Neurospora crassa OR74A: one gene and its partners. The protein of the gene in region 1 interacts with the protein of each later gene in a pairwise test. Links are inferred from orthologs where the notes say so. Each region holds a gene or a part of one and is shown on either strand. Other genes may lie near its edges.

Region 1 (4,285 bases):
GCGCAAAGATGTTCATGCGAGACTGTACGTACTCAGTGAGGGTCTTCTTAGCCTTATCAAGATCGACCACCATCAAGCACGCTTCTGTGACGCGCTGGATCTCATTCTCGCCCAGAAATTGACCCTTGGAAACCGTGGCTTCCACCGTGACAATCATCAAGGTTGGTCCGTCAAGAACTGACTTGAGGGTTAACCCCAGAGGGTTATCGGTGGAAAGCTGCAACGCTTTCATGCTCTCCGAGTCCATTGGGGAGTTGCCCAAGATGGCAACAACCTTGCAGTATTCGATTGGGTTCGGTAATAGCGACTCGAGTGCAGCAAATCTGGCGGAGAAGTGATCCCTCACAAACTTGTGGACAAGGGCCACCTCACTGTCTATCAGAGTAGACAGTCTGTTGGCGTTGGTCAAGAGGTTGTATTCCGGGTGATCTTCGACATGGCCGACGTCGTTGGCCTGAGCGGGTTGTGCTTGATAGTGTGCGATTTTCTGCAACGTTCGATCCAGACTGTCAGGGCTATTGCTCAAATAAGATGTAAACGCTTTTCCATGTTCAAAGGGAGCACCGCAAACGGGTATAAGGGAACTAACCTCGAGTACTGGCTTCAATGACTTCATAAGAGTCGCAACAGTTCGAACATCTCGCACTCCTCCCAGATGCATCTTCTCAACCTTGGCTTTTGCTTCCTCGGGATCTTCTACAGCATTCGAGTCGTCGGCGCCGACGCCACCCATAGCTTCGTCTTCGTCCTCGCCCTCCTCGTCGCCCATGCCTTCATCTTGATCCTCATCATTGATCGGTACATGTGCGTCGTCCACGCCGGAGCCTCCAGTCGTGTCAACGCCATCGCCTAGAAGACCATCGCCATACTCCTCGCCACCGGCCTCGGAGCCAGAGTCCTCAAAGTCCTGGAGGAGCTCGTCGAGAGTAGACGACATGTTGGCAAAACCCTGTTTCCTGGGCAGAATATTCGGCGACTGTTCGGGTCTCAAGGTGGTTAGATTCAGGAGTAAACGGGACAGTCGCTGATACAGGTACAACAGCTGCCGTGTGCCGAAGAAAGAATGGAAAAGAGTTCGATGTGTTGTCGACTTGTTTTGGTTTTGGGAAGAATGGAGGCAAGAGACCGCGGCGTTGCATCACGGCCTAGCGTACTGTACTGACCTCGTTGCGCCAGTGCTTTGCCTGCCGGTCGTACACAGTGCGGCTTGGTATGTCGCCGATAGCTGCCAGTGCAGTGAGTAGATAGTGTCAAGTAGGCGTAGTTCGCAGCCACACCCAATACAGCGGCCTTCCAGCGGCTCAGCGTCGTCTTATGGGCGAACCTGCTCGCTGAGGTCGGACATGTACTACCTATCAGATGTACAATGACATGATGAGCGAAAAGTGTCCATACCCACTGTGCAGCAAGGTTCAGTAAGTAGGCAGGGGCATCGAGCCACGGTCCATCAATCGCAGCGCGTCCTCAACTGAGTTCAGTGGCTGGCTGCTGTTGCGTCCAGACCCCAAAATCTCATTGAGAAACCGAACTTACAACACCACGCCAACATCTGCAGATCGCCACTTTTTACGCCCATCTTCACAATGGAGTCATCGCGCGGCCCGCCACGGGTGAAGAATAAAGCCCCTGCGCCTGTACAGATCTCGGCCGAGCAGCTGCTGCGCGAGGCCGTCGACCGCCAGGAAGTCAACCTCCAGACCCCGACACAGCGCTTTGCCGACCTCGAGGAGCTCAAGGAATACCAAGGTCGTAAGCGCAAGGAGTTTGAGGACTACGTGCGGCGTAACCGAGTTCGTCTATCGAACTGGCTCCAGTATGCTCAATGGGAGCTAGAACAGAAGGAGTTTGCGCGGGCTCGCTCTGTGTTCGAGCGCGCTCTGGATGTACATCCCAACAATACTCGTATGTTTGTCTAAACTCAAAGTGTCCATGTGCTGTTAAATGTGGCGCACATCAGTCGCTAACGATATGTCCAACAGAACTCTGGATCCGATACGTTCAAGCAGAGATCAAGAACCGTAACATCAACCATGCACGCAATCTGTTGGACCGCGCTGTCACGCGGCTGCCCAGAGTCACATCTCTCTGGTACCAGTATCTCTACGTTATGGAGATGCTCGGCGACATTCCGGGTACCAGACAAGTCTTCGACCGGTGGATGAAGTGGCAGCCAGATGAGCAGGCGTGGAGTGCTTATATCCGTCTAGAGAAACGTTACGGCGAGTTCGACAGGGCAAGGGAGATCTTCAGGGCCTTTACCGCCGTCCATCCGGAACCGAGGACGTGGCTCAAGTGGGCCAAGTTTGAAGAGGAATACGGGACCAGCGACACGGTCCGCGAGGTCTTCCAGACAGCTATCCAGACAATTGCCGAAACGCTAGGCGACGATGCCGTTGACGAGAGGATATTCATCGCCTTCGCCCGGTACGAGGCCCGTCTGCGTGAGTATGAGCGGGCCCGTGCCATCTACAAGTTTGGCCTCGACAACTTGCCTCGGTCCAAGTCGATGACGCTACATGCCCACTACACCACATTTGAAAAGCAGTTTGGCGACAAGGAGGGTGTGGAGGACGTCATTCTTACAAAGAGGAGGAGATTGTACGAGGAGCAAGTCAAGGAGAACGCAAAGAACTACGACGTCTGGTTTGACTTTGCGCGACTCGAGGAGAGCGGAGGAGATGTCGATCGGACCAGAGAAGTCTACGAGCGAGCCATTGCTCAAGTACCGCCAACCCAAGAGAAGCGACACTGGAGGCGGTACATTTTCCTCTTCCTCTTTTACGCGATATGGGAGGAGAGGGAAACAAAGGATATCGGGCGAGCCCGTCAGATCTACGACACCTGTCTGAACCTGATCCCCCACAAGAAGTTCACTTTTGCCAAAGTGTGGGTTGCCAAGGCGCACTTCGAGATCCGACAGGGCCAACTAACGACGGCCCGCAAAACCCTCGGCCGCGCCATCGGCATGTGCCCCAAAGACAAGATCTTCAAGGAGTACATCCTCCTCGAGCAGAAGCTCTACGAGTTCGAGCGCTGCCGCACCCTCTACGAAAAGCATGTCATGTACAACCCGGCCAACTGCCAAACATGGATCAAGTGGGCCGAGCTGGAACGTGGTCTCGACGATCTCGAGCGCACCCGCGCCATCTTCGAGCTCGCTGTCTCGCAGCCGATCCTGGACATGCCCGAGGTGGTATGGAAGGCGTACATCGATTTCGAGGAAGAAGAGGGCGAGTACGAGCGGACGCGTGCCCTGTACGAGCGCCTGCTCGAGAAGGCCGATCACCCCAAGGTCTGGATCAGTTACGCCCAGTTCGAGATCAACATACCCGACGAGGCCGAGGAGGAGGAAGAAACGGAGGAGGAGGTGGAAGAGAAGCCTGTTAGCGAAGAGGCCAAGGCACGTGCTCGCAAGATCTTTGAGAGGGCGCACAAGAGCATGAAGGAGCGCGAGCTCAAGGCCGAGCGTGTGTCGCTGCTCAACGCGTGGTTGGCGTTTGAGAAGACGCATGGGTCGGCGGAGGATATCGAAAAGATTCAGAAACAAATGCCTAGGAAGACCAAGAAGAAGCGTAAGCTGGAGGATGATACTTGGGAGGAATATGTCGATTATATCTTCCCGGCTGATGATCAGCAGACCAAGAACTTGTCGAGTCTGTTGGCCATGGCGAATGCTTGGAAACAGCAGGCCGCGGGGGGTGCTGGTGGCGCTGCTGTCGATGAAGCGGCTCAGGGAGGGAGCAGCTAGTGTAGGAGATGCAATGTTATATTAGGCCGCAGACCAAGAAGCCCATAAACTTTTCCCCCCGAATACAGTAACCGATATGGTGCGGATCTTTACTCCCACACATATATACCTCTTGAGTTGTTCTCGGTATTAAAGATCACATAAAAAGCCCAAACCACGATAGAAACCCCATACTTTGATGAAAGGTGTGAATTATATTTTAACCAACTGCTTGGTAGGTTGTTCCATATCCCGTACGATTAAATACGGCTTTGTACATGTTGGGATACTCTGAGGATATCAGGTCTTCCTCGGCCGTCGAATCTCATGGTGGTCTTGACGTCGATTTCCAGCACATTGTATTCGTGGGTCCAAAAAGTATCGTTTATCTCCATGAAAGAAACTGACTACCGGCCTTCTCTTTATACATATATCGTGAGAATTCGCAAAGAGGCATACATTGTTTATCATTGTCATTCTCTCAACCTCTCGGAATTGATCTGTTTCTTCATCATCCTCATAAAACCCAACCTGTTGACCATCATTATCATCATCATC
Region 2 (4,063 bases), about 4.3 Mb from region 1:
CCGCAAGTTCCAGACCAAGAACCAGAAGCTGACTATTGTCGCCATGGGTTTTCTTTTCGACTTTACCGGAAATGCCAATAACACAGTGGTACAGCCCGTGAGGGAGACCATCAAGGAGCAATGGTTCCAGGACGCCATCCGGGAGAACCCCGATGTGTTTGTGGTGATTGGTCACGTCGGCGTGAAGATGCCCGAGTTCAAGGAGATCTTTACAGCCATTCGTAAGCAGAATCGATTAACGCCCATCCTGTTCTTCGGCGGCCATGTGCACGTGCGTGACGCGACGGCGTATGACTCCAGATCGTTCGCTATCGCCAGCGGCCGTTACTTTGAAACGATCGGCTGGATGTCGGTGGACGGTGACCTGAAGAGGACAACCAAAGATGTCGTCGCTGCTGCTGTCAATGACGACGAGCCGCCTTCGACTGAGGCCGCGGAATTCTCGTTCCACCGTAGGTACATCGACAACAACCTACTGGGCCTCTACTATCACACCGGGTTGAACAAGTCCACATTTCCTACAGACCACGGCCGAAATGTATCACAAATGATCGCCCAGGCCCGCAAGGATCTCGATCTGGACTACACGTTCGGCTGTGCACCAAAGAACCTGTGGATGACGAGGGCGCCCTATCCCTCCGAGGACAGCATCTACACGTGGCTCGAGAAGGAGGTTCTTCCAGAGATCGCCATCAACGACGACAGGAAAGATGTCCCTCGTCTGGTTATCATGAACACCGGTGCCATCCGCTTCGATGTCTTCAAGGGCAAATTTACCAGAGATACAACGTATATCATCTCGCCCTTCCTCAGCGTCCTCAACTACATCCCCGACGTCCCTTACGAGGTTGCCAGTAAAGTTATCGGCTTACTCAACAACGCTGGGCGGATCATGGAGGAGCATGCTCCTATGGATGCTCGATTTATGGCCATCCCGGAGCAGTTTGCCATCACACAGGACATTATTCATGAGAAGCCAATGCCTTCCTTCGCGACTGAGGGTCTTGTGGACGGGCAAAAGCCCCTGTCGGGTGATGGCGCCTCTAAGAAGGAGCCCGTTTTGATCGAAGGCTATACGACAAAGGATGATATTGGTGACGATGGCGATGATGCTATCCACTCTGCCATTAACTTCTATGTCGTGCCTAACTGCATCCAGGCCGAAGTTGGGTTCTCGCCCAAGGAGGAGGGCGAGAAGCCTGAAAAGGTTGATCTCGTGTTCTTTGATTTCATTCAACCATGGGTCATGGTTGCGCTGAAGATCTCCGGAGGCGACTACACTAATGATGATGCCAAGAGATATGTCAATGGGACCTTTACGGAATTGATGGCGGGCTGGATTAAGGAGAACTGGCCTGCTAACTGTTAGGCACAACAGCCATGTTGTTCATATAATCTCGCTGGCACGGGAAACTGAAGGCACGGCGGCCTGAGACGGGGCTCGGTCATGCGGTACGGGATGTGTTACATTGGCGTCTATTTCTTGATGACCTGGCTGGATTGAGGGATCAAATATGAATTATGAACGGGATAATGATTTCAGACTGTAAATAACAATGGTAACATAGCGAGTACTGTGCGCAAAACGAATATAAACCCAGCACTTGAGCTGAACCTGGTTGTCGAACCCGCCAAAGTATCATGTATCCCATTACTCTGCGCCTTGAACGCCGCGCCGTATCCGTGTAAATGCTACAAAACGAACCATCACCATGCCCGCGCAACCGACATGTGCCCCCTTCTCCTCTTCCCACAGACCCAATTACAAATCATTTCAGTCATCGCCAGGCTACAACTGATCCAACAGCCTCCGCCTCCTCCTGTCAATAAGCTCCTGCGCAACCTCGTCCATCGTAGGAAGCTCCCACTCCGGCAACGGTTCCCATCCGGGAGGCGGCTCCAATCCCGCCGCCGCCTTCGCCAGGTTCTCAAACGCCTGCCTCTCCCTTGCCGCCTCATACGCCAACAGCTTCTCGTCCTCCTCGTCCGGCGCATACCCGTAATACGCCGCATCCACTTGTTTCCTTAAATCATCTCTCGTCTCCAATGGTTTCTCATCATCCTGCTTCGCCCTCGCCGCCGCCTCAAACAGCTCCTTCACACCGGGTAACTCTCTCGCCCTGCCAAAGTACTTGTACCCCCTCCCTCCACCAGGGATCTCCCGCCCGGCTTCGTCGTACACTTTCCCTCCCGAGCGCATGTAGTTCGGTCCGCCCAGGTTGCGGATCTGCACCTCCCACATGTGTTTTTCTCTCATGAGCTTGTTGATCTCATCGTTGAGGTCGCGGATCTGGTAGTCGGATAGGGCTGGGTCTTGGATGCGGGACACCTTGCGGGAGATTTCCTTGAGGACTTGGCCTCGCCACTTTTCGCATGCGGGAATGCTGTCTTGCTCGGTGATGGAGCGCGGGCGGCGCGTGCGCCCGGCGTCGATGATGCCCAGGTCGGCGGCTTGCGCTTCGCGAAAGCGGAAGAGCATCGACTGGGCTTTTTCGGAGTTGCGTGCCTGGGTTGGGACATTGTTAGTACACGGATTGTACAGACCGATAGAAGAGTCGAACAGTGGGATTAATCAGGAACATACCATTTTGGATGGTGATTATGGGTTGCGCGGGGGAAATTAGGCGTGGAAGGGTATTGTGATTGATAACCTAAGCTTGCTCCTGAGACGAGGCAAGTAGGATCGGCTGGGGATTGAAGGCGCAGTGGAAAGTCTAACTGTGGCCAGCCGTGGATTTTACGTATTGCCGGAAATTCGAAGATGATGTACTGGTACAAGACAGAAGGCTGCAAGGCTGTGATGCCTCGTTTGTTTGGTGGTGTGGCGTTTCTGTGATTGTGGCCCGAGCTCCACTGCAGATGATTACGGGGCGCCGCAATTCGAACGCGTCCGTCCTGAATCTCAACCTGCATCCAACAAGTCACCAGATTGATTACCTCTACACCTTGAACTTTACCATTCGAACGACGAAAATCTACAGCCATCCTCAGAACGCGGGATTCTATTTTATTGCCGCAGTATCGCGCGGCTCTGGAAGTCACTGCAAACTTGAGAGGCTCGGTTTGGTTCGGCTTCCAGCTGAGTAGCTCCTTTCACGTCTGGCGATGCCCGAGGATGCACATCGCTCTTCTTGAATGAGCATGCGAACCGAGGTCTACCTATGAAGCGAGCCAACACTCTATCACCATCCTTTTCTATACTTCCATTTTTTCTTTCATGCTTTTGACCTTTCATTTTTGCAGCCTCAATCTATCAGCGCCTGGCAACGAACCCTCTTCGAATCACAACCACCCCTCCTCAAGCCAATACCTTCAGCTACCTATCACGAACTCACTTACCACTTTCTAGTTCCATTGCCACTTCTTTCATCTACTCCTGGGGCCCTGCAGTGAAGAAGACCATCACAATTCAGGGTGTCTTGATTCCACCGATAGGGGCATCTTTCCTCTTCGAGGAGTCGACGAACCATCTGGCAGAAGATGAAAGCCCAACAAGAACGGATATCTGAGCAGGCCTCTTCAACAACTCGTACCCCACAACTTTCTGCACTACTTCCACCATACTTTTACATTTCCCCTCCTCCTTTCCTCATCAGTTCACATGCACCCCCATCCGGACATGTGTACACCTGGTCCTCTGCTCTGGACCTGGTCCGGCTGTAGCCTCGACCGTCTACCCAGCATGAACGTCTCACAGCCAGCCTTATAAATCGCCGAATCCTACCCATGGAGTGGTTCTTAACCAGAAGTTACGAACCCCTTACCCTATGGAAGGATCGGGGCTTGGTTGCCGCAAGGCTGGATGTCCCGTTTTGGTTTTCCAAGACGGGCATCATGTGAGATACGTTCTGCTAGCTGTCGAGGTTATCAGTCAGCCTTGGTCCAGAGCGGCAGAATCATCTTTGCAGGTGTCTGGATGAAGAACAAGTGTTAGTTAGTGTGGCTGTCCTTTCCACAACTTGGAGTACTTGGGACGCGCACCGCGCACCAAGCACTACCATTGCCGCCGCAATGCCTGGCTGGGAAAGTTACTCTCACCGAAACTCTCGCCTTCACCAGTAAG
Region 3 (4,121 bases), on another chromosome or scaffold:
CTTTCCTGGTCCTGTTCTACCAGCTCGACCGGCTCTCTGGTTGGCTTGAGCCTGCGAAATAGGAGTGACAACCAACGAGTCCATGCCAAGTTTGGGGTCGTATGCGTTCTGCTTGACGAACCCTGGATCAACAACGTAGTAGATATGGTCGATCGTGATGGATGTCTCGGCAATGTTGGTCGCGATAACAACCTTTCGACTCCCTGGCGGCGCTGGGTCGAAAATCCTACTCTGCATCTCGCTAGGAAGGGCAGAGTAAACGGGCAAGATGAGAAGCTCAGGAACGTTAGGGCCCAAGGCTTTCATCCGTTCGTATAGAATTTCGCAAGCCGTGTCAATTTCTTCCTGTCCTGTCAAGAACAAAAGGATGTCGCCCATTGGCTCGCTGAGATGGATTTGCATGACGGTGGTGAGAGCGGCATCCAAGTAGTCTGACTCTGGCTCACGGGAGTAGAGAATCTCGACAGGGAATGTACGACCAGGGATGGTAAAGATGGGGCATTGGTTGAAGTACTCGCTGAACTTGTCGGCATCCAAGGTAGCACTAGTGACGATAACCTTGAGGTCCTCCCTTCTCTTCATTGTCTTTTTCAAAAGGGCAAAGAGCACGTCGGTGGCGATGGTACGTTCGTGGGCCTCATCAAGCATAATGACCGAGTATCTCTTAAGGTCGGGGTCGATCAGGATCTCTCTCTGAAGCATACCGTCGGTCATATACTTGATCTTGGTTGCTGGGCTGGTGACGTCCTCGAATCTGATGGTATAACCAACTTCTTGGCCAAGCTGGCAGCCGACTTCTTCAGAAACACGTTTCGCAACAGACACGGCGGCGACACGGCGAGGCTGCGTACATCCAATCATCCCATTGTTAGTAAAGCCGGCTTCAGCCAGGTATTGAGTAAGCTGTGTCGTTTTTCCGGATCCCGTCTCGCCGACAACAATAAGGACCTGGTTCTCCCTCACAGCCGTGATTAGTTGTTCTCTAAAGGCAAAGACGGGGAGAGATTCTCGTTGCTCCTTGATGCTCATGTTGGTGCGCCTGCCTAGCGACACTTCTTTGGGTGCAACGGCCCTCTTCCACTCAGGAACAGCATCGGGAGCCGCTGGTGCTGCTTGAGCGTTTTTGCGCAAATCACTAGCAAACTTTCTGGTCTCCGGGTTGGCCATAGGATCTTGCCATTGGGAGGACAAGTCAACCTTTTTCTCCTCTGCTTTTTTGGCTTCAGTCTCCTGCTGCCGCAGTTCCTTTCGTTCTTTGGCAAGATTGGTGCCTGCCATGGCGGCGCGGTTAAGGGACCCGTCGGGAGCTTTAACAACGCGGATGGGTGACAGCTCGAGTGACTGTTTGGTCTGTCCAGCCAGGAAGGGAGGTTCCTCGTCTCGAACCTCGATATCAACATCCTCCTCAAGCTCCATCTGTCCCTCGCCTTTGAGTGTTGCCTGGTAGTCCTCTTCAAGTTCTGGGTAATCGGATGCCTTTGCAATGCCTGCCGCAATCATTTGACGAATCTCCCATCTTTCAGGAGACGTCATCCTCTTCTTGTGTTGCCTGGCATTTGCTGTCGCTTGGAATGCTCCCTTGTCACCAAAGCCGTTGGTGACAACATTCTTTGTATCGTATCCTCCTCTCCCGCCCAATGCCTCCATATTGGCGCCCGAACCTATCCGCAATTGCGGTGCGAGGTCCATGCCCGTCTCTTGGTCTACGTCCTTCATCGACAAACCTACTCTACCTCCCTCGAGCTTAATGACTTTGACTTTGACTTCCTGACCCTTGGATAAGAGATCCGAAGGGTGATTGACACGCTGACCGAAAGCGGATACATGTACTAAGCCGTCAACCTTGCCCTTAACGCCATGCAGGTTGACAAAGGCACCAAAGTCCTTGATTCCCGTGACGTGGCCTTCGTAAACCTTGTATAAAATAGGGGAGTCGTCCACCTCGCGCGGTGGTGGCCGTCGGAAATCACCATCGTATTCATCATCATATCGGCCCTTCCGTCGGCCTCTTGGTGGCGAAATTGACCTGGACCTTGACCTCGACCTTGACCGGTATCGCTCCTTGCGCTTCCTCTTCCCGTAGTCGTCTGCATAGTCGTCTCGTTCGGGGGTGCGGCTTCGTTTCCTTGGTCGTTCTTTCTCCGCTCTCTTAGGCTCGAGGCTTTCGAGTAAGGCCAGGGTGTCGTCGATGACATCCACTTCCTTGTCCGGGATGGACAGACCCTTGAACACCTTTGTCTTTTCCTCGGCAGATTGACCATGCTTCTCGTTTTCATCGGCGCGGGTCTGTCCATGGTTTTGGCCCTTGAACTTTGGGTGCAAGGTCAGGACAAGTCTGTCGATACTCTCAACCAAGCTGGGCGGGAAGTCGGCGCCGATGGTGGCCAACTTCTGCTTGAACTCGTCGAATGACCCGCATTCTACTCGTTGGGCGATGATGAACTCGGCGAGCGTCTTTTCGCTGACGCCCAAGTGGTTCTGCAACTCGGACGTGACCTTGGACACGAGCGACAGAAGCTCGAGGCTCTCCAAGTCGTCCATGGTGGTGGCCGTCTGGTGACTTCAGTAATTTGTGGCTATCGTCCGTGAATAAAATCGAAAGTTGTATGAACGTCTCTCAAGCAAAGGAGAGCGTTAGGACAGGGAATTCGACAGCTCCCGTCAACGGGCAGTGGAGGGGAGATCTGTTGTGATGGCTTGAGTTTTCGCAGAAGGTCCAGAAATCCGGCACCTCGAGACGATGTTGGGAGATACAGTGACAACGAATTGCCTGTAGCGGACGCGAAAAGCCGAAAAGTGCAGTGATGCGCGCGGCCTGTCCATTGCCAGCGGCCAGCGACAACGAGGCTCCATGATCCGCCAAGAAATGGAACCTGCCGGAGAGTTCCCGTGACTCATCGTTTTATTCCAGCCATCACAGCCACTTAAAATGGTATGGTTTTGGAAGCGCACGAGTCAGTACTCGATGCCAGTCATTGAAGGGAACCTTGATGGCCACATAACCCTAACCCCGTCTCTAGCGGGCAGAATTGAGTCCGTTGAAGGAACGTCTTCCCTTTGCCCCTGTCGTTCATCGAATCGGGCGGGGTTCCTGGTAGCTTACGCAAGCTCCCCTGGCGCAGGGCCTGGCCTTTTCGGCGCGTGACCCGTCCAGTGACGAAGCCCCATCGGTTGCATCATTGAGGATCCGCAGCCTCTCCATCAGTCCATCTTTCCTCCATTCGTCTTACATCGTTTTGGATGCTTGAACCATTCCACTTACCATAAACATCAAGACCTTCGTTTTCAACCTACCTATTTATCGTCAAAATAGTCACACCTTTCCAGTCCTTTTTATTTGTATCCTTGCGTCGTCTTGGTTGCACAGTACAACAAGCACAACAATGTGGTCCACCGACATCTTCCTCGGCTTCTTAGCCATCCTCTTCCCACCGCTGCCTGGTAAGCTCAACATCATAGTTCAAACGAAGTCGCCTTACAAGGCTATCTACGATCATCCACTAACCCCTTCCCCACAGTCTGGGTCAAAACCGGCATCTGCTCCGCTGACTCTTTCATCAACCTCCTCCTCTGCGTCCTCGGCTTCCTCCCCGGCCTTCTACACGCCTGGTACATCATTGCGAAGAACCCTACCCCACCATTTGACTACGACGGCGCCGTTTACGACGCCAATGACATCGGCCGTGTTGAAAGCGGTCAACGAATTTATGTCTTTGTCCACGACCAGCCCGGCAACAATCAAACCGGCGGTGGCCGCCACTACCACCACCAACAAGCCGCCCACAAGAATCAGCAGCCGCAGCGACAAGGGCCCATGAATTACGGTACCACCGCTGGCCACGCGCCCCAAGATTCGGGTATTGCACATGCTGGTCCTAGCGCAGGAGGAGACAGCGACAACAGCCATGCTGCGCCCCCGCCGAGTTACGCGCAAGTAGTAGCAGGTGATCATAAAATTCAGACTCAGGATTAGGGTCCTTCAACATCTACGACGCCGATACCCACTGTTAATGGCTCTACTTCTGCAACCACCAAGACAGAGGGTGCTACTCGTTCTTTCAAAAATTGGAGGAGTGCGGCTTGCGATTGCCAGTGCGCTTGCGAGTGTCCTGAGCAGCAGT

The links. The genes of interacting proteins can lie anywhere in the genome.
Region 2: the proteins of NCU02717 (region 1) and NCU00664 interact in binary tests that used the Saccharomyces cerevisiae proteins (3 or more experiments, as listed by UniProt). The link is inferred for Neurospora crassa OR74A from reciprocal best matches to the Saccharomyces cerevisiae genes CLF1 and ISY1.
Region 3: the proteins of NCU02717 (region 1) and NCU06318 interact in a two-hybrid assay, tested with the Saccharomyces cerevisiae proteins (2 studies listed by BioGRID). The link is inferred for Neurospora crassa OR74A from reciprocal best matches to the Saccharomyces cerevisiae genes CLF1 and PRP22.

The regions. Positions count from the first base shown.
Region 1 is NC_026501.1:3,299,784-3,304,068, forward strand, and holds NCU02717 (pre-mRNA-splicing factor clf-1), read left to right. Parts: upstream 1-1,484; 5' UTR 1,485-1,583; coding exon 1,584-1,902; intron 1,903-1,979; coding exon 1,980-3,748; 3' UTR 3,749-3,952; downstream 3,953-4,285. Other genes in the region: NCU02716 (pre-mRNA splicing factor), read right to left, coding at 1-487, 590-937. UniProt on the Saccharomyces cerevisiae protein: Involved in pre-mRNA splicing and cell cycle progression. Required for the spliceosome assembly by promoting the functional integration of the U4/U6.U5 tri-snRNP particle into the U1-, U2-dependent pre-spliceosome.
Region 2 is NC_026501.1:7,640,698-7,644,760, forward strand, and holds the start of NCU00664 (pre-mRNA-splicing factor isy-1), read right to left. Parts: upstream 2,809-4,063; 5' UTR 2,588-2,808; coding exon 2,585-2,587; intron 2,507-2,584; coding exon 1,790-2,506; 3' UTR 1,370-1,789; coding exon of another isoform or gene 1-1,369. Other genes in the region: NCU00665 (Ser/Thr protein phosphatase), read left to right, coding at 1-1,369. UniProt on the Saccharomyces cerevisiae protein: Involved in pre-mRNA splicing and cell cycle control.
Region 3 is NC_026504.1:2,933,109-2,937,229, forward strand, and holds the start of NCU06318 (ATP-dependent RNA helicase DHX8), read right to left. Parts: upstream 2,809-4,121; 5' UTR 2,542-2,808; coding exon 1-2,541. Other genes in the region: NCU06317 (stress response RCI peptide), read left to right, coding at 3,384-3,441, 3,519-3,973.